Linked DNA regions of Notamacropus eugenii. The protein of the gene in region 3 interacts with the protein of the main gene of each other region in a pairwise test. Links are inferred from orthologs where the notes say so. Each region holds a gene or a part of one and is shown on either strand. Other genes may lie near its edges.

The links.
Region 1: the proteins of PRKG1 (region 3) and ZNF646 interact in binary tests that used the Homo sapiens proteins (3 or more experiments, as listed by UniProt). The two-hybrid records come from large-scale screens. The link is inferred for Notamacropus eugenii from reciprocal best matches to the Homo sapiens genes PRKG1 and ZNF646.
Region 2: the proteins of PRKG1 (region 3) and FAM124A interact in binary tests that used the Homo sapiens proteins (3 or more experiments, as listed by UniProt). The two-hybrid records come from large-scale screens. The link is inferred for Notamacropus eugenii from reciprocal best matches to the Homo sapiens genes PRKG1 and FAM124A.

What each region holds. Positions count from the first base shown.
Region 1 is NC_092874.1:377,654,200-377,661,727, forward strand, and holds the start of ZNF646 (zinc finger protein 646), read right to left. Parts: upstream 3,109-7,528; 5' UTR 2,843-3,108; intron 2,674-2,842; exon of another isoform or gene 2,517-2,673; intron 1,898-2,516; exon of another isoform or gene 1,834-1,897; intron 1,268-1,833; 5' UTR 1,181-1,267; coding exon 1-1,180. UniProt on the Homo sapiens protein: May be involved in transcriptional regulation.
Region 2 is NC_092876.1:104,753,480-104,761,415, forward strand, and holds the start of FAM124A (protein FAM124A), read right to left. Parts: upstream 3,109-7,936; 5' UTR 2,869-3,108; coding exon 2,798-2,868; intron 1-2,797.
Region 3 is NC_092872.1:278,293,711-278,301,366, forward strand, and holds the start of PRKG1 (cGMP-dependent protein kinase 1), read right to left. Parts: upstream 3,026-7,656; 5' UTR 2,922-3,025; coding exon 2,578-2,921; intron 1-2,577. UniProt on the Homo sapiens protein: Serine/threonine protein kinase that acts as a key mediator of the nitric oxide (NO)/cGMP signaling pathway. GMP binding activates PRKG1, which phosphorylates serines and threonines on many cellular proteins.

The DNA of each region.
Region 1 (7,528 bases), on a different chromosome or scaffold from region 3:
TCCCAGCATGCCGGTAAGTACGGCCACAATCAGCACAACGGAAAGGCCTATATTCTTCTACTCCACCCTCATTAAGCTCCCCAGCATCAAGATCTCCAGAAGTGTTGAATTCCCCAGAGGCATTAAAGTCCTTGGTACCATGAAGCTGATTTTTATCACAACCACTTTCTCCAGGGCCATTGGCAGATGGCTCTCCTTTTTCTTCCCATGATAGTTCCTTCCCTTCTCCCTCATGGGCTTGTTGGTGTCCCAACAATTCACTCGGCAGTCGGAAAGCCCGGGGGCATCGAGGACACTGGTAAGGCCTATACTGAGCATGTAACCTAGAATGATTCTTTAGGGCCATAAGGTTGGAAAATTCCTTGAAACATACAGCACAGGGGTAAATGCCTAAAGCATGGCTCTGACGGTGGTTGGTTAAACTCCCTGCATGTTTATAGGCTTTGCCACATTGTCCACACTTATATCGACGTTCATCCTCAGTAGGAGGTGACTGAGGTGGTCTCTCATTCCCTGTGAAATCCACCATGGATTCAGCTAAGTACTGCTCTAAATTGCTGAGAAGGCTATTGGCTGGAGCAGGAAGAGCAGGGGCCTCTGTGGGACCTGATGTATTTCCCCATCCCTCTATACTCTCCTTAGAATCTGTCCTGTTCTCCCAGCCATCTTTGTGTCCAGGTGGCTTCTCCCAGGTACTAGCGGCCTCTGCAGGATCAGGCCCAGCCTCCCATACATGTGTACTTTGTCCATGGCTCGTCTGGTTGTTCCAGTTTTCCCCAGGACCAGGCGTACCCCCCCAAATGTCAGTGGCAGTCATTTGACCCTGGCTATACGATGTGGGCTCTTTGTGGCGGGGGGGCCTGTGCCTCCTGCGGCCCTCAGGGGCATGAGTCCTCAGGTGACTCTTGAGGGCCATAGGATTGGAGAAGTCCTTGTTGCATGTGGTACAAGGAAAGCGGCCAATCTCATGGGTCCGTCGGTGATTGACCAGACTACCTGCATGACGATAACCCCGCCCACACTGTGCACACCGGTATGGCCGAGGGATCCCATCAGCCTCATCACCATTCCTGTTTGGAGGAGAGTGATGGAGCAGCTCACGGTGACGTGCTAGTTCTGGGAGGCTGGGGAAATGACGCTGACAATCAGGGCAGCTGATCAAGGCAGGGGTATCCTCCATGAGGCAGCAAGGTAAACTGCAGAGTGCTCAGGAAACACAGGCAGGTGATAATACCATCTTCTTGCTCTGGAGAAAGCAGCAAAAAGACTAGAATATAAAAAAGGAAATATTAAGAAAGGAATTGAGAATGTAACTCACTGCTTAAATGAGCTTGTCCATTAGGTAGTATGTGAAAAAGTACTTCAGGTCCTGCATTCCATCTGATCAAATCAAAGTCCTATTTCCATCTGAGCAAATGGAACCCATCATCTCAATTTTCCCCAGAGGAAAACAGAGATGGGGCAAGAACCTGAGATACTGCCTTAAAACCAAATGTTTCCCTGGATCAAAGGCAGAAATTTCTGTTACTTTTGATCTCTTCTAAACTTAAAAGTTCAGTACTGAGACCTCTTAGCTATAGTTGGCATCACAACCCAAAAAACCCTTTCCTTTTTTCTTTAATATCCTCCCCAAACTGAATCCAGTTGAACTTGGTGCCCCTCTCCCCACCCTCTTATAGATCTAAAATGGGAAATCATCTTTCTCCGGACACAATGAACTGGTTTTTACCTCTCTCAAGTTTTCTCTCTCTAAAGTCTTTGGTTAAGAATAAAGCTCACTTTTTACCACCCAAGCTAAAATCATGACTTTAGATGTAGTCACACTAATAATACCTTACATGGGCTGCTGGGGATCCAAGTCAGAGCCTCTCTCTATCACTATACTCCAGTTGAGAATCTGTTAGGTAAAAAAAAAATCAGGACTCACTGTTCAGGTAAAGACTTGCCTCTTTAAGCTACCTATACTCGCCACTTTCCTCTTAACCATTTTACTACTCCAGCCTCATATTTTACTAACTTCATATTTTATCTACCCATTCCTATCACCTCCCCTCCTTTCTTCTTTTATTCTTAATCCTTTGCTAATCATGCACTCCCACCTAGTTTCCCACCTAATAAACACTTTATAGGTATTTTTTTAAAAAGATTTTGAGTTCACTTATCCTTTTTCATATTATCCTCACAATAACTCTGTAAAGTAGGGAGTACAAATTTTATCATTCCCTCCTTTATTATAGACAGTAAGCAAGCCCCAGAAAGATGACTTGGCTAAGGACGAACAGTTGATTAAGTGGCAAAGTTAGAGAGTCTTGAATCTCCTGATTCTTAGTCTCATTCTCCTTTCACTATAACCAGGTAGTTCCCAACTTCCCTTCTGCCTCCTGTTCTTATCTCCCTATATTTTTTCCCCTCTTCCTCAGTCAATCTATTACTTTCCCCCCTCTAGACCTCTTTCCCACTCTTGGCCTTCACCATATACTTCACAAGTACACGCACATATACACAAGTACACACACCTCTGATTTCAGCCCTGTCTCTGCTTCAAAAGGCCCTTTCTTCTGGCTGCCCCAAGTGGACCCCACAGTCCTGTTCTTCTCTTAGATCAATCTCAACCGCAGATCTCGAGGAGACAACTTGAATGGAGACATCAGGGTTCCACTTTCTCTACAGGGCCTTCAGACCAGAATGGAAGGTCTTGGGTGCCCCCTCCCCCGCGGCTGCCAATAGTGACTCCTCCACCTTCCGGCCTCCCACTATCCCCAACCCCTTCTTGTGCCCCCCTTGCCCCCCACCCCCACCCAGCCCAGCCCTTCAGGCCCTCAAGTCCCCTCCCCTCCCTCACCTCGCCTGGCCTCTCTGGGGGCGGGGAGAGGACGCTGGTCCCTTTCTGAGCTCCCAGCCTCCAGCTCGCCACTTGACTGGGAGGGGCCCAAAGTCCTTCGTTTCCCTAGGGACTGAGAGTTAAATTGGGGGTGGGGGTGGGGAGGGAGGTCGGAGGATGTGGAGGACGACAACCAGGTTGCGTTCGTATAGGGCAACGGTCGGACGGGACTAGGGGGGCTGGGGGGGTCCGAGTCTCACGGAGGCTGATGGGCCGTTCGCGCGTGCGCAAAATGAAGCCCACTACTCCTCCTCCTCCCCCAGAATCCCCCCCTCAACCGCCGAAGAACTCTGCGAGGTAGGCAGGGGATGGGGGAGGGGGAGGAGGAGAGTAGTCAGTCGCCCGATGCCCACTCAAGTCCCCCCCCCAGGAGGGGGGGGAAGGGTCTCTCACCCACGCGCAAGCGCGCTCGGGCCAGGAAGCCAAGGAAGGGGAGGAAGGGAAAGTGGGGAGGGAAAAGGGAAGGGGAAGGAGGGGGAAAGGAAAGGGAGCTCAGCTGGCACGAGCCCGAGGTCTCCCCCGGCTCCGCGGACACTTCCTATTGTTACTAGGAAACAGGAAGTGTTCGCTTCGCAAAGGCTTCCCAACTAACCTCCGCCAAACCCGCCCCGGTAGCACTTTCCCTTCTTTTCGGCCTGCCCAATGAGACCTCTCCGTTTCTGATGTCAGGGAACGGTATCCAAGGCACAATACTAGCCCCGCCCACATCGCTAGGCATACTTCCGTTTGTCCAATGACTGTTAAACGGCACATCCGGTAGGGTACAGCTAAAAGAGTTCCCGCCATACATTTTTCTAAGAACGGCAAATGATTGCCCCTGTTACACGCTCCAGGTCAGGTGGATCCTTAGACAAATGGCTCTCTCTACTAATAGCTGGTGACACTTCTTATAGGGTCCCCCCACCTTGGTTAGTGATCTTCCTCTTCCGGTGACGTTACCTTCTAAGTTACATGACAGAAGTAGTCACCGGAAGTGTGGCGTGCTTCAAGTCCTTGTGCCTCGCCTAAATCTTTCCCCACCCAATGACGGCTGTGGGGATCCGCTTGGTCCTCGACTTCACTTCCGAGGGTTTTACCCGCAAACGAACACCCCCGATACTGCTTCCGAACCCTCTCTGATTTCATTTCCGTTGGTGCCCGCCTACTCTGAGTCAAATACGTTTTCTCCACTCTTTCTCTCTTTGGGGCTCCGCCTAAACCCTTCCCCCTCCCTCTTAGCGGGAGAATACCTCCACTTCCGGTACCTTGCTCTCCTCCCACCTCCCCCGCTGGGTCCTAGCGCCTGCTCTATTTCTAGCGGGAGCCCCGGCTCTGTCCTCTGGAACTACTGCAGCCGAGAGAGCATCAGGCTCCCCCAGGTAAGAGCCATGATTGCGACCCTGGAACGCGCCCCGTGGAACTTGGGTCATGGAAGTCCCATTGTTTCGGGACGCCATAGATGGACTCAGTTTTCCCATCCGTAAAATGGGAGGGGGTATGTGTGTTTATGTAGACCAGATGCTTTTTCATGGTCCACTGAGGTCTGACATTTTGTTGAGACGGGGACGCTTCCTTGACCCTGAGCCCCGAGGCAGGTAAAACCTTTGACAGTCCGCCCCCCCCCGCCCCCTTTCATTCATTCACACACCCCTGCTGCTCTACTGTGCGGCGTCCCGGGATTACCACCGCTCCCGCCGCTGTGCCCCGGCCCAGCATGGTCCTAGAGACCGCCATTTTGCATGCCTTTGTGCGGCGCGGCACGGCACGGCTGCTCCTTTGGCTTCCGAGCCGGGTGCCGGGCCCGGGGGTGAGGCTCGCTGCATGCGGCTCTCCGCTTCGCTGCTGGACTCCGCGTGTTGGGCAGCAGGGACTGGATGTCCTCTGTCCCCGGTCCTAGTGACCGCCATTTTATAGGCCTCTCTTTTGTCCAGGTTATAACAGCCGCCAGCGTCCTCCCCCCTCCCTCCACGCCCTCCAGCCTCCTTCGGTGACTCGGCCCCCAGCACCCCTGAGGTCTCCAGCGCCCGCCCCTCCTAAACCCGCCTCGGGCGCCGCTGGGGAAGGCTCGGCCTTCTCCACGGCCGCCCCTCCCCCGGTCCTAAAGACCGCCATCTTGCTCGTCTTTGTCCCTTGGCCTCGCGGCCCTTCGCAGCACTCCCGGGGTCGCCTCCTCACGCGAACCCTAACCTCCTCCCCCCTGCTCCCGCAGACCCCTCCTTCCCGATCGCCACATCAGGCCGTAGCGTGAGCGCCGGGAGGGGAATGGGAGGCGCGGGAGCTAGAGCTGGAAGGGACCTCCGGGGCGGTCCGTCCGTCCGGTTTAGCAGACGAAGGGACAGAGGCACCGTTGACGGCCCCCCCCCCCCCCCCCCGCCCCATTTATACTGAAGAGGCCCTGCCGAAGGGACTCAGCCAAGGTCGTCAGTGACCTGGCGGCGCAGCGCCAAGGCCTGAGATCTGGATGCGAATCCCTACCCTGGGAGTGCCAAACGAGGGGAGTGGACGCCAAGGTTTCTTTGTGCCCCTTCAGCTTTACACATTAGAACAAACCCGTGGATTCTTTTATTCCTTGTCCCCCAGTGAAGCCCCCTCTGTGGAGCCCCGGCGGGGGAGGAGCGCGGCCGCCGTCCAGCCCGGGCGGGGGGTGAGGGGGGGAACCGCCCCTCCTCCGGCCCTGGGCTGCCCGGGCTTGCGCCGGTCCTCCCCCTCTCCCCCAAGGCCGCCGCCGCAGCCGGGCGCTCCCTTTTTAAACTGCCCTCGCTGCTCTCCCCGACCCCGCCTCCCGCCGCTCCGCCCGGCCCGGCCGCGGTCCTAGAGCCGGACTCGTCTGCACCTCCCCTAGGACCTGTCCCGGCCTGTCGGGGTCGGGCTTTGTGAGGAGGCTCTGGGGCTGGAGAGGGTTTTCACTTCAGCCTTCCCTGGGTCCTAGAGCCCAACCCTGGCGGGGCGGGGGGAGGGGGGGAGCTTCTCCGCGGACAGCTGGCGCTCCAGCCTGGGTAGGAAGGCGGGGCTGGGTCATCTGGGGAGGTGGGCGTCTCGTCCTGGGTTTGGTGACGCCCTCCGCCCCGCCCCGGGAGCCGCAGTCCGAGGCTGGGACCAGGAGCTGCCGAGGAATTGGGATTTCTGGCCGCTGCTCTGCCTGAAAGGGCCAGAGAGATGGTTCTTGAGAAGATTCGTTTCCACTCATCCAAAGCTCTCGCCTCGGGCTTCCCGCAGGGTCACCGGCGTCAAGGCCACCCCGGGCCTTGGGGATCCTTTAGGTCCAGGCACTAAGACAAGTCACTGTTTCTACCACTAGGCTTTGGTTCCCAGTTGAGTTCTCTGAATCTGTGATCCAGGGATTCCTCATTGGACAGGTCAGGAAATGGATGGTGGGGATGAGATAAGAAGAAACAAGCCGGGAGAGCCAGGTAGAAAGTGGCGCAGCTGGGTTCAAACCTGTATCTTCTGCTGCCCAGTCCTAGACACAGGTTCGAGGGGGTAGGGAACAGGTAAATAAGTGCTTGCCATCCTCCTTACCCCTTTGAAATAACCTCAAGACCATGGTCATACCTTCCAACCCTTGATTCTCCCCCAACATCCTTCTTTCCCATCCTCATCTTTACTGAATTCTGTTTGCCCAGTCTCATATCCTCTGTGCCGAAGAAATTGTCAGATATAATAGGAAACAAATCATCGCTATCCTTGACTAAAGGTGTGAAGTTGGTGAAGGCACCAAATCTACTTAGACCTCATTTTCCTCATCTGTAAAGTGAAAAGGTTGGACTAGATCAGGGGTGGGCAACCTGTGGCCTTCTAGATGCTTAAGTTCAGCCTTTTGACTGAATCTAGACTTTACAGAACAAATCCTTTAAAAGGTAAAATTTGTGTAAAATTCAGATTCAGTCAAAAGGCCACATTTAAGGATCTTAGAAGGCCACTGTCACCTCAAGGCTGCAGGTTTCCCATCCCTGGACTAGTTATCTTCAAAGTGCCTTGTTAGAGCTAAATGATATAGTTCTTCAATTCAGATAATGCTATATACAAAGGTAGGCAGTTGAAATACCAAAGAGCTCATTCCTTCTGTCCCAACACCCAGAGCTCCAAAGTTCTAGAGGACAAGTTTGGCACAGACTGTCATCTTGCATCTCATTTGATTTTCTCTCTCCCTTCTCTTTAACATATGTGCCTTAGTCTAAGTCATCCACTCACTCCAGCACTGCCAAAATTGTTCATGAGTGAATCATAGGATTTTAATTCTGGAAGGAAGGAGATAATTTAGTCCGAACCATCTATTTTAAAGATGAGTTAGCTGAGGCCTAGGGAAAGAGAAGATCTTGCTTTACTATGATCTCATACATGTATCAGTCAACAAATCACTGACAACCTATTTGGGCAAGGCACTATTCTTGGGGTATACAAGAGAAAAGAGAGTCCTAGCCTAGTGAGGAAGTCTAGACACACAAAGCTTAAACAATATAGTGATAACAATGCAGGTTCTTAAAGTATCTTAATGCTTAATAATCTTTTTCCTTTACAGTAATACTGTGAAAATAGTAGAAATTTATTATCCTCGTTTTTATAGGTAAGGAAACTCTGTCCAAGAGAGGTCAAGGGATTTGCCCATCATGTGGCCTTTAAATGTCTGAGCCAGGATTTGAATCCAAGATTCCTGACTCAAAGTCCAGT
Region 2 (7,936 bases), on a different chromosome or scaffold from region 3:
ATTTACAAGCAGTGAATTATAGGGATATGGAGTACTGGAAAAGGTGGTGGGGAAGCCATGTCATCAGGACGGAGTCATGTCTCATTAAAAAGCAGAAGATGGAACGAGTGAGAAAGAAAAAGATTACAAATGAAAGAGATCAAGGATCTTATATTTAGTGGGAGAGCAACACAGATAGTGGAGGGAGGTCAAAGCATGGAACTATGGTCTGAGAAGTCACAAAAACATTGTATGGAATGATAGGGCAGTCTGTTCCCAGAGGTAATGGCAGTATTGATTATAATTCAAGGATAGGTTCTAACACATGAATTGTATGAACATGGGCAAATCACACTCTTTAAAACTATATTATAGATGGGCTACTGATTCATTGGAGGAGGAAGTTTTGAAACCAGAGGGAATGAAGTCACAGGCCTCCATGAAACTATGTAAGAAAATTGCTGTGGAAGCTTTCAGGAGGTGAATCCCCCTAAACTCAACCCAAAAGTTAACAAAATTTGTTTCTTGACTAAGACCCCAGAAAACAGACTTGAATTCTGAAGAAGCCAATAATTATTGGAGAGAAGTATAAAGGGTAGATCTGGCCAAAGGAATTTTGCTTTGTGACAAAGAACTGAAAAAAAAAATACAGAAACTAGAAATAGTGCTTTTGGTGACAAAACTAAGACTGAAATACCAATACTCGTTTAAAAGAGGAGAAAATAAAGTCTATGTGTCAAAGATCAGGCAACCTAATAAATATACCTAATGATATCTTACTTAGACATAAGAAGATATAAAAAGATGTTATCTTTTTCACTTCTCTCTTCAAAGTTTAAGAATGATACTGAAAACAAAAATTCTTCACCTAAGCCTGCCCCATGGCAGTCACAGTTTTAGTACCACAGTCTCTAAAGAGCTCCAATAAACCACTAGCCCATTCATGCCCAATGGGCATTAACAGCCCATTGCTGGCAGACATAAGCAGATGTCCTGCTGACTGTCTAAGTCTAGAAGATAATGTCACCATCTGGGTCAGCGCCTTCCATCAGCCTAGCTAAGCTCCCTTTTTGTCTGTTTTAAGTAGAAATTATAATTGGAAGCGAATTGAAATGTCAGTTTGAAAGAACTAAGAATAGGATGCTTATTATGGTTTCTTGGATTCACATTCCAGGTCAAAAACCCTAAAATAAAAGTTGATAAACTTCACAAATTTACAAAAATAACAAAAGAGCTTAAAATTAGAAATTACATTGTCTCTTTTGATTACATTTAGTTTTTGAAACCAAAGTTGAACACTAACAGGGAAGTCCCCAGCACAGTCAACACCAGGAGGGTTAAATTTCTCAGTTTGGGATGGTAAGTACAAGAAAAGCGCGCAGCCTCAGGCTAGTTCAACTCCAGTGCTAAATACTCCAGTCATTCTAAGACTTGGACTCTCCAGGAACTCCCCCAGTTCCTGCAGTTCAGCCAAACCCTAGAGTGAGTTCTTATGGCTCCAGGCTCATTCTCTAGTTTGGACATAATGAGATTCATAAGCAGATCTCCGTCCCTCAAGCCTCCTCCAGCAGAGATGCCACCCTTTCCCCTCCGGGTCATCCCAGGTCGATAGCTGTATCCTGAGGACTGGGCAGGGGAGGCACTGGGAAGTCCAGTTCGAGATAGGAGCTGGGTAGGGAGCCCTGGCAATAGCATTCAGCCTTTTGTCCTACGGGCAGGAAAACAGTGGTGATTAGGAAAAGAGTAATTATTCTTCCACTGATATTTTGAGCTAATTATTTTATTTTGCTGACTGATAGGAAATGATATGTCATTTAAATAATCAAAAGTGTATTGTACTAGGTTTGTCCACCTCCCCTTTATCTCAAAAGTTGACAGTCTGTGACTCAGGAAGGGAGGGAGACACTCTAATGATTCAACTGAGGTGGGGAGGACTTGGGGGAGGGGATGGCCAGGAAGTCTGCACTAAAGCCCCTCTCTAAAGCCAGACAAAGACAAAAAATACCCTGATTTGTCGTATCTAACGTATGCATACATAGAACTATACACATCCACATCCACATGTATGTATATATATATATATACGCACAAACATAAATGTGTGTGTGTGTGTGTGTGTGTGTGTGTGTGTGTGTGTGTGTGTGTGTAAGGGGCAGATGAGAGCAGTCTTTTCTAACCCTAACCCACACATTCCAGACAAAATTTAGGAGTTTGGGCAAGAAGAAAGCCAGTCCAGGGCAGCAACAAGTGCAGCGGCATCTCCTTCCCCTCTTAATAGGAGGTTCAGAGGCAGGGGACAGAGGGTGGGGGAGGGGGCGGTAAAAGAGCTCTCTTTGCCCTCGAGACCCACTCCTAGACTCTCTCCCCAACACAAGTGGGCTCACCTATCCCCAGGCCCCGACAGCAGGTCCCAGCCTCCCCTCCGCATCAGCTTGGGCACTGGGGCCCTCCTTCCCTAGTAACTGTCACCGACCCCCCTAAAACTTCTGCTTCTCGAGAAAGACTGGTCTTTCCCCATGGAGGTGCTGGCTTGATCTACAGCCCAGCCCGAGAGCAAGGTAACCCCCACATGTAAACTCTCCCTACTCCACTCTAGCTCGCCCCTCACTCCCATGGTGGAGTAGAGCGGTCCAAGGATGGATGGGGGACCCCGCCGTCCCCGGACCCGCGCCCTTCCGACGCTTGCTCCCCCGCCCCGAGCTTGGGGAAGCCCCTGCCGCCCCCCTTTTCGCATCTCCAGCTCCAGCTGAGCCTGCGCGCTCGCTCCCCGGCGCCCCAGTTGAGCTCCGAGATCCGTATCCCCCCCAGCCCTGCTCACCCGCCGGTCTCAGCTCCCGAGTCCACACAGTCATCCTCCTCCTCCTCGCCCGCGCCCGCCTTCGGGTCCATGGCAGGATCGAGTCACGACTCCTGGGTGTCCCGGGGTGGCAGCAGCAGCAGCGGTGGCATTATCCTTTCCTTCCTCCCCGCCCACTGGGTCCCGCCTGGGTGCTGTCCCCGGACAGCGCTCGCTCCCTGCTCTCCGATCGCCCCTCTCGCAGAGGCGCTCGGGCTGCGACAGCGGCCGGCGCCTTCGCCTCCTCTCTCCGCCTCCTTCTTTCTCCTCGCTAGGCTGTGCACACTGGGTGTCAGAGCGTCCCCCGCCCTCCTCCCCCTCCTCCTCCTCCTCCCCCCACCCCTTCCCATCCCCTCCCACCTCCTCTCCTGCCTCTATGGCCACGCTCCTCCCTCCCAGCTCTCTGCGAGGGTGCTTGTGTGTGTCTGGTTCGTGTGCTGCCTTCGCGGTGTACGTTTTCCCTCCTGTCCGTAGCATCCCTCAGCTCAAAGATTCTTTGTGTTAAGAGAACGAACAGGCTGTCATGCGTAGGGTGTTGGAGGTAAGAGGATCTGAGTTCAAATCCCTCCCGTTCATTTCCTCTGTGTGTAATCCTGGGCAAATTACTCTGTGCTTCAGTTTCCCTTTCTGCAAAATGAATAGGGTTGGCCTCAAATATCCATGTAGCTCTAAAGCTATGATGTGGTCCAAATGAGTGGAGTGGAAGTCAATGGCCTGTAAAGTTCCATCCAGCTCTAAATCTGTGGTGGCATGCCTTGATTTCCTTATCTGCAAAATGAAAGGATTGGACTAAATAGGGCTGCTCAATTCTCTTCTAGCTCCAAATGCTATGAAGGGGAGCAGGAAGGTGGGTTCTTCTATCAACGTCTATCAGGGAATTTACACTAAGCCCCCCAGGTCTCCCCAAATCCCAAGTTTGATATAGAGGCAGAACTTTGAAGTCAAGATAAGATGCTCCAGTGACCCGGTTTGACATCTAGGTAAGTTTTTCTTCTTTTTTTTCTTCATAGTTTGCAACACTGAATTCATTATTCCCTCTTTCAAGATCAGTCTGCTATTTATCCCACAAAACTGTTCCCCTCTCTATCTTAATTTGTCTTGATTTTTAAAAAAAAGCATTCTTTAAAACAAACAAACAGGGATCATGCTTGTCTCCAGGGTTTGTTGTATTAATGAGATCACCATTATCAGTAAATCACCTTGAACCCCAGAGAAAAAACTCTAATAAGTGGGAGGCTACTCTGAGGATAATTAGTGCAGACTCTTCAGCTGGAAAAGCCCTCCAGAGGTCAGGGTAGTACTCACCCCCAGCTGGTAAGCTCGAGTTCATTTAAATTACCCAATGATGATGTCCATAATATCATATTGTGTAAGTCCTGCAGGACTTGGATATTTCTCTAAAGACTGCCTTTATGTGCAGGTAGGAAACTTGGTTCTGCTTTTTATTTCTTACTAACACTCTGGGGAAAGCTTAAACCAAATTCTTCACTTTAAGCTGGTAAAATGGATTGGCCAAGGGACCTGATGAAGTTGAATAAGGGAATGCCTGCAAAGGACTTTGTATCCTGAAGATCGGTGCTGTTTCTGTAGCACCTGGACCCTTAGCAGAGTTTTCCCAGTCTGGAGACATTCTGTGAGTTAGCAACCACTCTAAATCATAGCTTAAAAGCAACCATCTCCCAGCCCCCACTGGATATACTTTTGCCAGTAAGCAAGTCAAAGGACACATTACTTAAAAAGAAAAACCATTTAATTAAATGGCATAATTCTCCTCCTTAGCACATCAGGGATATGTTGTCTTTACCTGTGGAAAGAATGAGTGTCAATTGCCTAAAAGATGACAGGTATTGCCACTCTAGCAAATGGTCCCTCCTTGGTGGAGAGGAATAGAACTTTTTCCTCCTTGTTTTCTCTACTTTTTGAAGGACAAAATCATCGCTAAGGTAAATCAATAAATTATTGACTTCTCTGCTTTAGGAGGAGAGAATTTGCCAGCAGATGTCCAAATAATAGAAGGTTGTCCCCCACCCCCACACCTCATCACTATTATGTCATGTGCCAGGCTTGTGATCTGTTTTCTTAATTTCTTCTCTATTTTCCCTTTCATTTCAAGTGGTCTGTAGTGTATGCAATGTCACCCTGGAGGGAGGTCTCCAATTCTGTGTTGTGTTCCTATTTCATTCTTTTTGAGTGCAGGCCTAGCCGTGGTATAGCTGGGTCGAAGGACTCCTTAGTAATTTTTTGTGTTTAATTTTGAATTGCTTCCCAGAATGGTTGTACCCATTCACAGGTCCACGAAGAGTGCATCTATGTGTCCATTTCCCCATAGGCCCTCCAACATTTATCATACTTTAGATAATTTTTGCTAATCTGATGAATATGAAGCAGAACCTCAGAACTGCTTTAATCTGCATTTCTCCAATTAGTAATGATTTGGAGCATTTTTTTTCATCATTTTGAAATGATGAAAAGAAATAGGAACAAAGGGGGCTTAGCTATGCCTCAGTTTATACTACAGAGCTGTAATTCTCAAAACTCTTTCATCCCAGTTAAAAAATAGGGAGCTCAATCAGTGTAATTGAGTAGCGACAACATACTTGCCAGTCTACGAAATTGAACATATAGTTCCTAGGGAAGAAACCCAATACAAAAAAATGCTCCAAATCAACCCAAACCAAAAATATCCCTCCTTGGCCATCACTTCCCATCATCCCACTTGGCCACTGGGCGGTTTTCCCATATACATATACACTATGTATATATATGCATACACTAAATTACACTGATTCTTGCTGTTATGAATATTTTGGTGTGTACAGGAATTTTCTTTTACTCTTTGTCCTTCTTGGGAGTTTGTGCCAAAGAATGGTCAAAGGATAGATCATGAATTTTAGAGCAAAAATTTTTAACAGAGGAGAAAAGCCTAAGAAAACAGGTTAAAAGTTGGCTTGGTAATAGTTGCAGAATTAAGGAGTAAAATTGGCTAAATTTTTTGTGGTGGGTGTTATAATGATGGTGGTTGAGTCATTTCAGTCCTGTCTGATCCTTTGTGGCCCCATTTGGGGTTTTCTTGGCAAAGGTACTGGAATGGTTTGCCATTTCCTTCTCCAGCTCATTTTCTAGATGAGGAACTGAGGTAAACAGGGTTGAGTGACTTGCCCAAGGTCACACAGCTAGTAAGTGTAAGACTCAGGAACACGAGTCTTCCTGTTTCCACACTCATTGATCTGTCCACTGTGCCACTTAACTTCCATTTCATATTTCCAGTCTTGCTACCTCAGCTGATATAAAGACTCAGCAGTAATATTGAAAGCTTTAAGTGATTCTAACATTCAATATCTATGCAACCAGCACTACTGAGAGTCAGTAAATAAACATTTATTAGGCCACTACAATATACCAGGCACGGTGCTAGACGTCTGAGGAGAGCTGAAAGAACAGTTATCTTGTTTTAGAAAAGTCTTTCTCTAGACAAATAAAGCCTTGAAAAAAAATGAGAAAAACCCAGAAAATAATTTTTCTGCCAAGCCCTAGAAGAGCCTGCCACATGGAACGTAAATATTATGACCACGACAAGAAAAATGATCAACTATTGGCAAATTTAGTTAGACAAAAGAAACCACTAGTGCTGCATGTAAGCGGGAGGGGAGCAGATGGCAGAAGGATAAATGAAGCTCAAGATAAGCTGTTGAGTTAGAAAGTCTCAGGACAATACAAATAATTCTTCTTTAATGAATGAAAACTCAGTCCCTGCTCCCAGTGCCATCCAGCCCTTACCTACACTAAGCACTTGCAGCATGTACAGAGGTGTCAGTCTAGATTCTGAAGTAGAGCACCACACTCTCAAGTTTATGCTATATAACTTCCAGGGACACAATGGAGTACCATTTGTTAAAATGCTTGGAAAAATCAAAAGTGTTTGGGGGAATGATCAGGGGAGCAATTGAGTCTTCTCAGTCTACCTAGGGAGATTATAGAATGTAAAAAGGCAGGCAACCAAGATGATGAGATATTAAGGTTTGCCCCTGCTAGGCTCTGAGTGGCCTATTTGAACCTTGTAAAGGGCAGTAGGGGACGCTGGGTGGTGGTGCAGTTGATAGAGTGCCTGGCTGGAGTTAGGAAGACTCAACTTCCTGAGTTCAAATCTGGCCTCAGACACTTACTACTAGCTGTGTGACCCCTGGACAAGTCGCTTAACCCTGTGGGCCTCAGTTTCTTCATCTGTAAAATGGGTCAGAGAAGGAAATGGCAAACCACTCCAGTATCTTTGCCAAGAAAACCCCTAGAATGAGGTCACAAAGAGGCAGACACAACTGAAACTGAAATAACAACAAACTATCTCTATGTCTATATCTATAAAGATATGGATATGTAATAAGGTTTTGCGAACTGACTGGCCACTTGAGTTTTGTACTTCAGTGAGACAGGCATTTCCTCTTTGTGCTGAGATTGATCTGCATTTTGGGGATCTCTGAGCCAGAAGGCAGATGGTGAAGTCATACACAGGGGTTTTAAAAGAGACATCCACAGTCTGCAAGAGAAAAGACTGAAAGGAAGGAATGGGGACTACAAGCGCTAAGCAGAAGCGGTAACCATGTGGGGATGATGTTTAAATGAAGCAAGATGTTAAAAAATAAAATCATGAGTGAAATAAGAGCTCTGGTGTCATACCGGATAGAGAGCTTTCTTTTAAGCCAGTCAGAAGTGGGTTCAAGTACCACTTCTGGGCAAATCACTTACCTTGTCTGTGCTCTACACAATAATACTCTAAGCTGAAGAGGAGGGGCTGACCTCCATTGGTAAAGGTAGTTTCTTCACTTGGCAATTTTCTATACCAGAGGTAGGGAACCTGCACTCTTGAGGCCACATGTGGCCCTCTAGGTCCTCAATGACCTTGTGAGGTTTGGATTCAATCAAAGAGCTGCACTTGAGGACCTAGAGGGTCACATATGGTCTTGAGGCTGCAGGTTCCCCACGCTTGTTCCATACTAATCATATCATTGAATACTACCTATCCCCTAAGAGCTCTGAAAGAAAAATTTGGAAAGACAATAAATAGCTTAGAGCTGAAGATGAAAAATTTTGCCTAATAATGGAAAATTAGAATGAAGCAAGCAGAAC
Region 3 (7,656 bases):
TAAAGTCCCAAAGATACTCCCTGACCGACTATTTCACTACTTATCATTTGAATTGATCACTGGGCTTCTGAAAACAACTGCCATTTCCCCCTTCCTAATACAAAATCACAGTTCCCTCTGCATCAGCCTCAAGTCCTACAGAAGCTCTGGCCTCAGGCTGCCCTCACTCCACAATCAGCTCAGGAAAATCATACCCATGGACTTCTTTTCCATTATGCAAACTTGAACCAGAAGGGAGATAGCCCCTGCACATCATTAGATGAAACAGGCATGCATGTCAGAGCAGAGAATTAATTTAACAGACAAAGTTAGAGAGGGTGCAGGTCACTCTGCTCTCCAAGCCAGAGACATCAGGCAAGCAATCAGGTCAGCATGGACAAACACTTAACTTAGCCATACTCTCCTCACCCCCTCACAGATGTGTGTTTTTCCTTAAGCTGGGACAAGAAGAGCAGACTGAGGTTGGCTGTCGAGGACCGAATATTGCAATCCTTAATTACATGAGCAACAAAGGCATCAGTGGCATTGGACATAAAGGAGGATATTCCAAGCTACCAAATCAGTAAAGGCTGGGAAAAGCAAACACCCAGTCCTTCCCCTTAAATTAACCTGTTGTATCATGTGTAATGAAAGGAATACGGAGTATTATGTAACACATCACCTACCGAGTACTCCATGGCTAGGAATAGGATGAGGGCAGCACCATGTAGTGGCTAGAAAACCAAAGCCCTAGATCTGAGTTCCACTCTGTGCCTCATTACATGAAACAGGCATGCAAGTCAGGGCAGAGAATCAAAGTAGCAAAGAATGCTAAAGAGGGTTTAGGTGCCCCCAACTGCCAAGCCTGAGCTGTCAGGCAAACAAACTGTCAGAATGGACAAAAACTTAGCTACACCATCCTCGCCCAACGCATTTAATTGGGTGGCTCTAGGCAAGACACTTAATCTCTCTGCCTCCAGCAATTCAACTCTCTATCTCTTTAAATTACAGGTGAATTGCAAACCTTCTTTGGTAGAAGGAGTTGGCACACTGGGAATTCTTTACATGAAAGAAACAAAGCCAAAATAGAGCATGGCAATATCCTGCCTTCTCCAGTCATGTCACATGTTTACTGAAGTACTGTATCCTTCCTTGGCCAGTTGTTTCTTATTGTATATATGCTATATAATTGTGGGATTTGGTTTCCTGATTTCAACTGAATCTATCCCTCTGATCCTCTCCCTCCCCTTCCTCTATCTCTCTCTGTCTCTTTGTCTGTCTCTCTGTCTGTCTCTCTCTGTCTCTCTGTCTCTGTCTCTGTCTGTCTGTCTGTCTCTGTGTCTCTCTCTCTCTCTCTCTCTCTCTCTCTCTCTCTCTCTCTCTCTCTCTCTCTCTCTCTCTCTCTCTCTCTCTCTCTCTCTTTCCCTCTCTCTCTTTCCCTCCCTCCACATTACCTCATGCCACTGAGATCAGGGCTAGTCATCCAGGGCTAAAACATGCCAGCACAAGACAGATCAAAGTAGTGAAAACGGTCACAGGAAGACCAACAACCAGTCCATTTACAACTGTGATCAGATCTGACACACTAATGTGCGTTTCACACTGGAAGTAATGCAATCGTTGTAGGAAAGCAACTATGCCACGGGAACTAAGCACAGTTCTCCCTTAGAAGGAACAATTACAATTAGCAGCCTGCCTCTGTCTTACTTGAAGCAAGTTAAATTATATCAGGAAATCGAACCCTTTAAAAAATATGAACTACCTAGTAGATAAATGTATTCCTTAATTATGATAGAAAACATGGATCCAGATAGTTTCGGCATGAATCAGTCAACAATGGAGGGATATTCGAGACAAGTACAGAGGCTCACGTAGTGAACCAGAGAGGGTCTAGTTCATCTTGGCCATTTCAGGTTTTTCGGCTGGACACTTCTGGCTGCTTGGAGACTTGGATAACTGAGGAGGAAAGTTCACTCTTTTCTTCCTCTTTGCACAGACATACATACGCACACATATACACACATCTGTCCATTCTGAAACCTCAATTCCAAGGGATTTCTCTCGGCTTTCTCCGAATGAGATCTCTCTGTCCCTCTCCTTACGCTTATTTCGGTCTCCTTATCCATTTCGCCCACTTTGACCCTCACTCTGTCTTATGTTTCTCTGTCTCTCTATGTGTTGGTCCCTAGTACTCTCTCCCTCTCTCTTTCCCTCTCGACACTGTCATTGCCAGATATAAAGGCAGAGGCAGATAGGAAGGCAACCGATGAGTGAGGGAGGGAAGAAAGGAGGGAGGGAAGGACTGGAGATGTGCAACAGACTGAGACATTCAGAAGTGTCGGTGGGTCCCTCTTTAGGGAGATGCGAAGGAGAGAGAGAAGCAGCCGTGAGAACCCCTATCGCGAAGGCGGCCAGGCGTGCAGGCAGCTCGCCCCTAGGCAAGGCAGACGAGCCCCGAGCGTCCAGCCAGGCAGCTCCCTGCGGGGCAGCGCACTGCTTAGCCCCGCGAACGCCTGACCTCCCTCCCAGCCCCCCGGGGACAGCGCCCAAGCCTCCCCCCACCCCCCCAACTCCCCCGGTCGGGCCCAGCCCGCTTACTGGGGGCTCTTGGGGTAGAAGGGCAGCGTCACGTGGCTGAGGTCCTGCAAGTCGAAGGCAGTGGGCTCGGCTGAAATAGCCTGGCGCTTGGTGCGGGGCTCGCCTCCGCTGCTCCCCGCGCCGCCGCCGGGCTGCGCCGCCTGCTGTGCCTGCGCCGCCTGCTGCGCCTGCTGCGTGGCGGGCCGGATCACCGAGCGGTACTTGTCCAGCTCGTTCTGCAGCTTCTGGATGAGCTCGTCCTTCTGGTCGAGCTCCAGCTCCAGCTCGTCTATGAGCGCATCGCGCTGCCTTAGCTCCTCGATCTTCTCCTGGAGCGCGTACTGCAGGTCGCGCAGCGTGCCCATGCTTGCTGGTCCTTGGGGCTGGCCCCGGGCCCCCGCTGGCTCGGCGGCGCGGTGCCCCCCGCAACTTTGGGCAAAGTCCCCGCCGCCGCCGCTGCCGCGGGCGCTCCTGCTCCCCCCGGTGCCCCCGGCCCCCGGCCCCAGCCCGGGCACGGGCAGCGGCACGGGCAGTGGCACGGGCACAGGCGGCAGCAGCAGCGGCGGCGGCGGGCAGCGGGCGGCGAGTAGCCGCTCACTCCCGACGGGCGGCCTGAGCTGCCCCCTCGGCGGCCGCCGCTGAGCCTCTGCTGCTCCTTCGGCTGCCTCTACGGCTGCCCCGGCCCCAGCCCCGGCCCCGGCCCCCGCGCCCGCCGCCGCTCCCGCTCCCGCTCCCGCCGCCGCCGCTGCTGCCTCCCCACTCCCGAGCTCAGCCCGGCGGGGCCACGGAGCATGCCCAGTCGGACGGCCGCCCAGCGCCCTGGAGACTTTCGCTGTGCGGATTCCGCTTCTCGGGGCGGGGGAGACGAGCCCTGGAGCCCTGGCGAGGGGGGCGGAGCTGAGCGCTAGCTTGTGCCCCACCAGAGGTGGGAAAGGACTGGGAAAATGAGGGGAGGGCGAGGGCACAGGGAGGGAAGCAGGGTACTGGACTTGGTCGAGGTCCTGTGGCTGGCAGGCAGAGAGGGAGCCAGGGAGGGAGGAAACAGAGTGAGCTCCAGCCAGCGGAGGAGGAGAGCAGATAAGTGCCTCCTTGGCCCCCGGGGAGGGAGTTTTAGGCGGAGCTAGCCAGACAGCATTTATGGGGTACGCGGCGTGGGTGGGGTGGCACACTCCAGGCGGGGAGAAGTGAGCCCCTGGAGGAGTTGCGCCCGTCCTGGGGAAATGAAATGAGGCGAGCGAACAACCTGCTGTTCACGGTTGACTTTGTCCAGCTCCAAAGCTGGAGACGCCGGAGATGTTGAGGAATGTTAGCCGAGGCTGGGATCCGCAAAGGAGAGCGGCTCCCTGCCCGCCGGTATCCAGCCCAGTGTGCCAGGGCTGTGCGCCTTCACACACACACACACACACACACACACACACACACACACACACACACATGCGCACACTTACACACACACCTCACCTGCCAGCCCTATGTTCCCATCTGCAGGTGAATCACACCTAAAGAGAAAACTTGCAAGAGATTGAGGGAGCGATGCAAAAGCAGAGTAGATGCCGATGGATGGAGCAAAGCCTTCGTCCGTACTCTTCCTCCCCCTCTCCCCGTTTTATCCCCTTTCCAGAACTGTCTACGACTCACTCCCTGCCTGTCGTGCTACCTACTTTGAGCCGCCTCCAAACTGAAATAGAAAGAGATGGAGATGCCTCGGGCAGCCTAGGAGGAATACATTTGGGGCTTGACGCTTGGCGAAGCGGCTGTTTCTCCCTTCTGACTCCTGCCATACTCAAGGCCCTCCTTCCTGCCCATCAGAGGGTCTCTTAAGATCCTTTTACTCCCTCCAATTGTCATGGGGTAGAGGGAGATCACTGCTGAGGTACAAAAAAAAGTGTATTTTAAAAATAAGCCCTACCCTTCCCAACATCATATCTCCTCCCGCACTCTCCCTCTCCGAAAAAAACTAAGTTTCCGGGACCGTGATACAAATCTGCTTTCATAAGAGACCCAGCAATGAGCCCAGAGACAGGGACAGGGAGGGAGTGGGGGACGGGTGAGGAAGAGGAGACACAGAAACCGAGAGACTGAAGACAGAGACTTAAAAGAAGAGAGGAGACCCTGCAGTAAAATGAATTTCACAACCTTTCGCCCTGCCCCTACTTCAGCTCTGGAAGAATAATAAAAAGTCCCATTTTAGCTTTTTCCCTGGGGGTTCTGTTTGGAGATGCTGTATTTAGCATGATTTTTCTGCCAAACATTTGATCTCCGCCCCACCCCTCACCCCTCACTCTGTCTGCTGGATGGTCCTTTGTGTACAGAGGACTCCACCGATGGGCAGTATCCAAACAACTCTCAATATTCCCCAACTCACAAAGGTTCTGAGCATATTTACCAGACCTGCGCCCCACAGTTCATGGGACAGCCAATTTTATAGCCATAAATAGTGGATTTGGCCACTTGCTTGAGCCTTTCCTGTAAGACTCTGAAAACAAAACAATCCTCCCCAAACATAAAGCTTTTGAAGGTGGCTGGAAATCTGGTGTCCTTTAGTGCGTGGTATGGCAGATCATGCCATATATCTGAAACCCTATCTGGCAGCCTTCTCCAGTTTGGCTTTTTTCTAATTGACTAAATCAGGGCTTTCTTTCCAGAAGACTGGCTGCCAAATGGGGGCTGTCCAAGGCATGTGGCCCCCAGGTCAGCTGCAAGGAGAAATGCTGGATTGCAAGTTACATTGAAGAATGGGATTCCAATCTGCTCTGGCCACTGCCAGTGTGATCTCACTTCTCTACGATTCATTTTCTCCTCTAGAAAATGAGGAGGCTCGACTAAAGGCTACTTACACATGGAGAATCAAGGAGGGTGAACATCTTTTTGGAATAATTCAGGATATCTTCCTCCCCAAAGACCTTTCACCAACTATTTGGATTATATGGGGGGTTGGGGGGAGGACAGCTCCCTAAAATGCACTAAGACTTTTGGGTCACTGCTTTTAGAGCTGAAAGGAACAATACAGGTTCACTACTCCAACCTCCCATTTTACAGAGGAACAAACTGAGGCTAAGAGAGATGAAGTGACTTGCACAAACTCCTACAGTAAATGGCAGAGCCAGAATTCAAACCCACACCCTTTAAATTCAGTCAGAAATAAGTTTTGTTCTTGGATTATCCAATTTGCCTCAGTTACACACACACACACACACACACACACACACAAACACAAACACTTTGTGTAGTTACAACCACAGGGTGCATTTGGACCATATTTTAACATAGGAAAAATGCTACAAGCCTGGAAATGATCTTTCTGGAAGCCAGTGCCTTGTAAATGTTTGTTCAGCAAATGGATAACAATAGACTGTATGGTATATGCATGCAGGGATGTCTAGGTGGGAACTTTCTCAACCAAGGCTGCTTACAAACCATTTATGACTCATTAGAAACATGCGTGGCGTTTGTCTGATGCTTACAAGTTGAACAAGTTTAACTTCTCCAGTTTTGATTTAAAGAAGAAATCCCAGAAGAAAATGTGACATTATCACTTCACCACATTAAGAAGAGTACCAAGGATAGAGATCTATCTGTTATCTTGGGGTGGGAGGAGTGAGGGATGTGCTCCTTAAAACACTATATTGTTTTTATCTATTCTTTTATATGCACTTCTGCTATCCAGAATTGTATGTTTTGACTCAGTTTCCTTTGGAATCTTTTAAAGTGAATAGTTGTTTTTATTTTGTGTGACTGTCACAGTATGAGCTCTCTGAAAGTCTTTTTTGGTCTCAAACTATAATTTGCTTCTTCCCACACACATACTTTAACATCAAAACACCCTGCAACGTGACAGATCTGTTAAGTTAGAGTTTAGAGCATTTGGGGGGACACTGAACAGTTCAGTGACTTTTCCAGAGTCAGGTATCTAGGATATGTCAGAGACAGGTCTTCCAGTATTCCTTATTCCATGACTGCATCTCTACCCATTAGACTACTCTGCCTATTCTCAGCTAACAAAAATTATTAGATGCCAGTTTGAGCTTCCATGTTGTTGTTGTTGCTGTTTTTGCCAAGACTAGCAAATATTTTTATACACAGGCATATTCTCTGGAAAACCATTTCTATAGGTCACAGTAGTGACTCCAGTTTTCCTATGCAGTTTCTAGGGAATCTATGTGATTAACAGTCATACAACCAATCACTCCCCCCACACACCTACCAAAAAAAAAAACAGTACAGGTACTTGTAATTCAAAAGGCATACCTATTGGAGCAAGCGTATAATATAGCTAAAAGAGTGGGACACCAAGGAGACCACTGTTCAAGTCCCAACTCTGACTTGCTGTGTAAACCTGAGTGAATTACTTCACCTGAATTTCAGTGTCCTACTCTAGTAAATGGAGAAAATGAAGCTTAGGAAAGGACACAGGTTTTAAGGGAGAAGAAAACCACAAATCCCAGCTTTGTCCCCTGACTACCTATGACCCTGAGCAATCATCACCAAGCATTTATCAAGTACTGATCATATTCCAGGTGCTAAGAGAGTAGCTGTGGATATGAAGACACACAAAGTGAAATAAACCCTGCAAGTTGTTTCTCCCTCTTTAGGCCTCAGTTTCCACATTTGTAAATTGATGAGGTTGTATTATTTGATCTCTCAAGTCTCTTCCAGATGGATTCTATCTCAAAAGAGTTTAACCAAAAACATTCTGTAAACTTGAAATTGCTATGTAAATGAGAGTTGATTGGTCGGTTATCACAGAGCTAGAATGGACGGTCCTTTGATGTTCAAATGCTCCTCTCCAGAGCAAAGAGATGGCAGAGTTCACACCTCAACTGCCACTGCTTTTCTTTTTACATTTTACATGAGGTAAAAATTTTTGAACATCCAAATTAAAGTTTCCCCATCTGTAAAATGGGGTATTGGACTGCATGAACTCAAAGTCCCTGTCAGCTCTCAAATTCAAGGACTCTGTGCTGGGATCTAATTAATTTTCACTACCCCATTCACAGAGGTAATGTTTGACATTTATATCAGGACACACATCAACCAACAAGTATTTATTAAGCACCTACTATGTGTCAAGGTGGCTTAGTGGATAAAGAACTGGTAGAG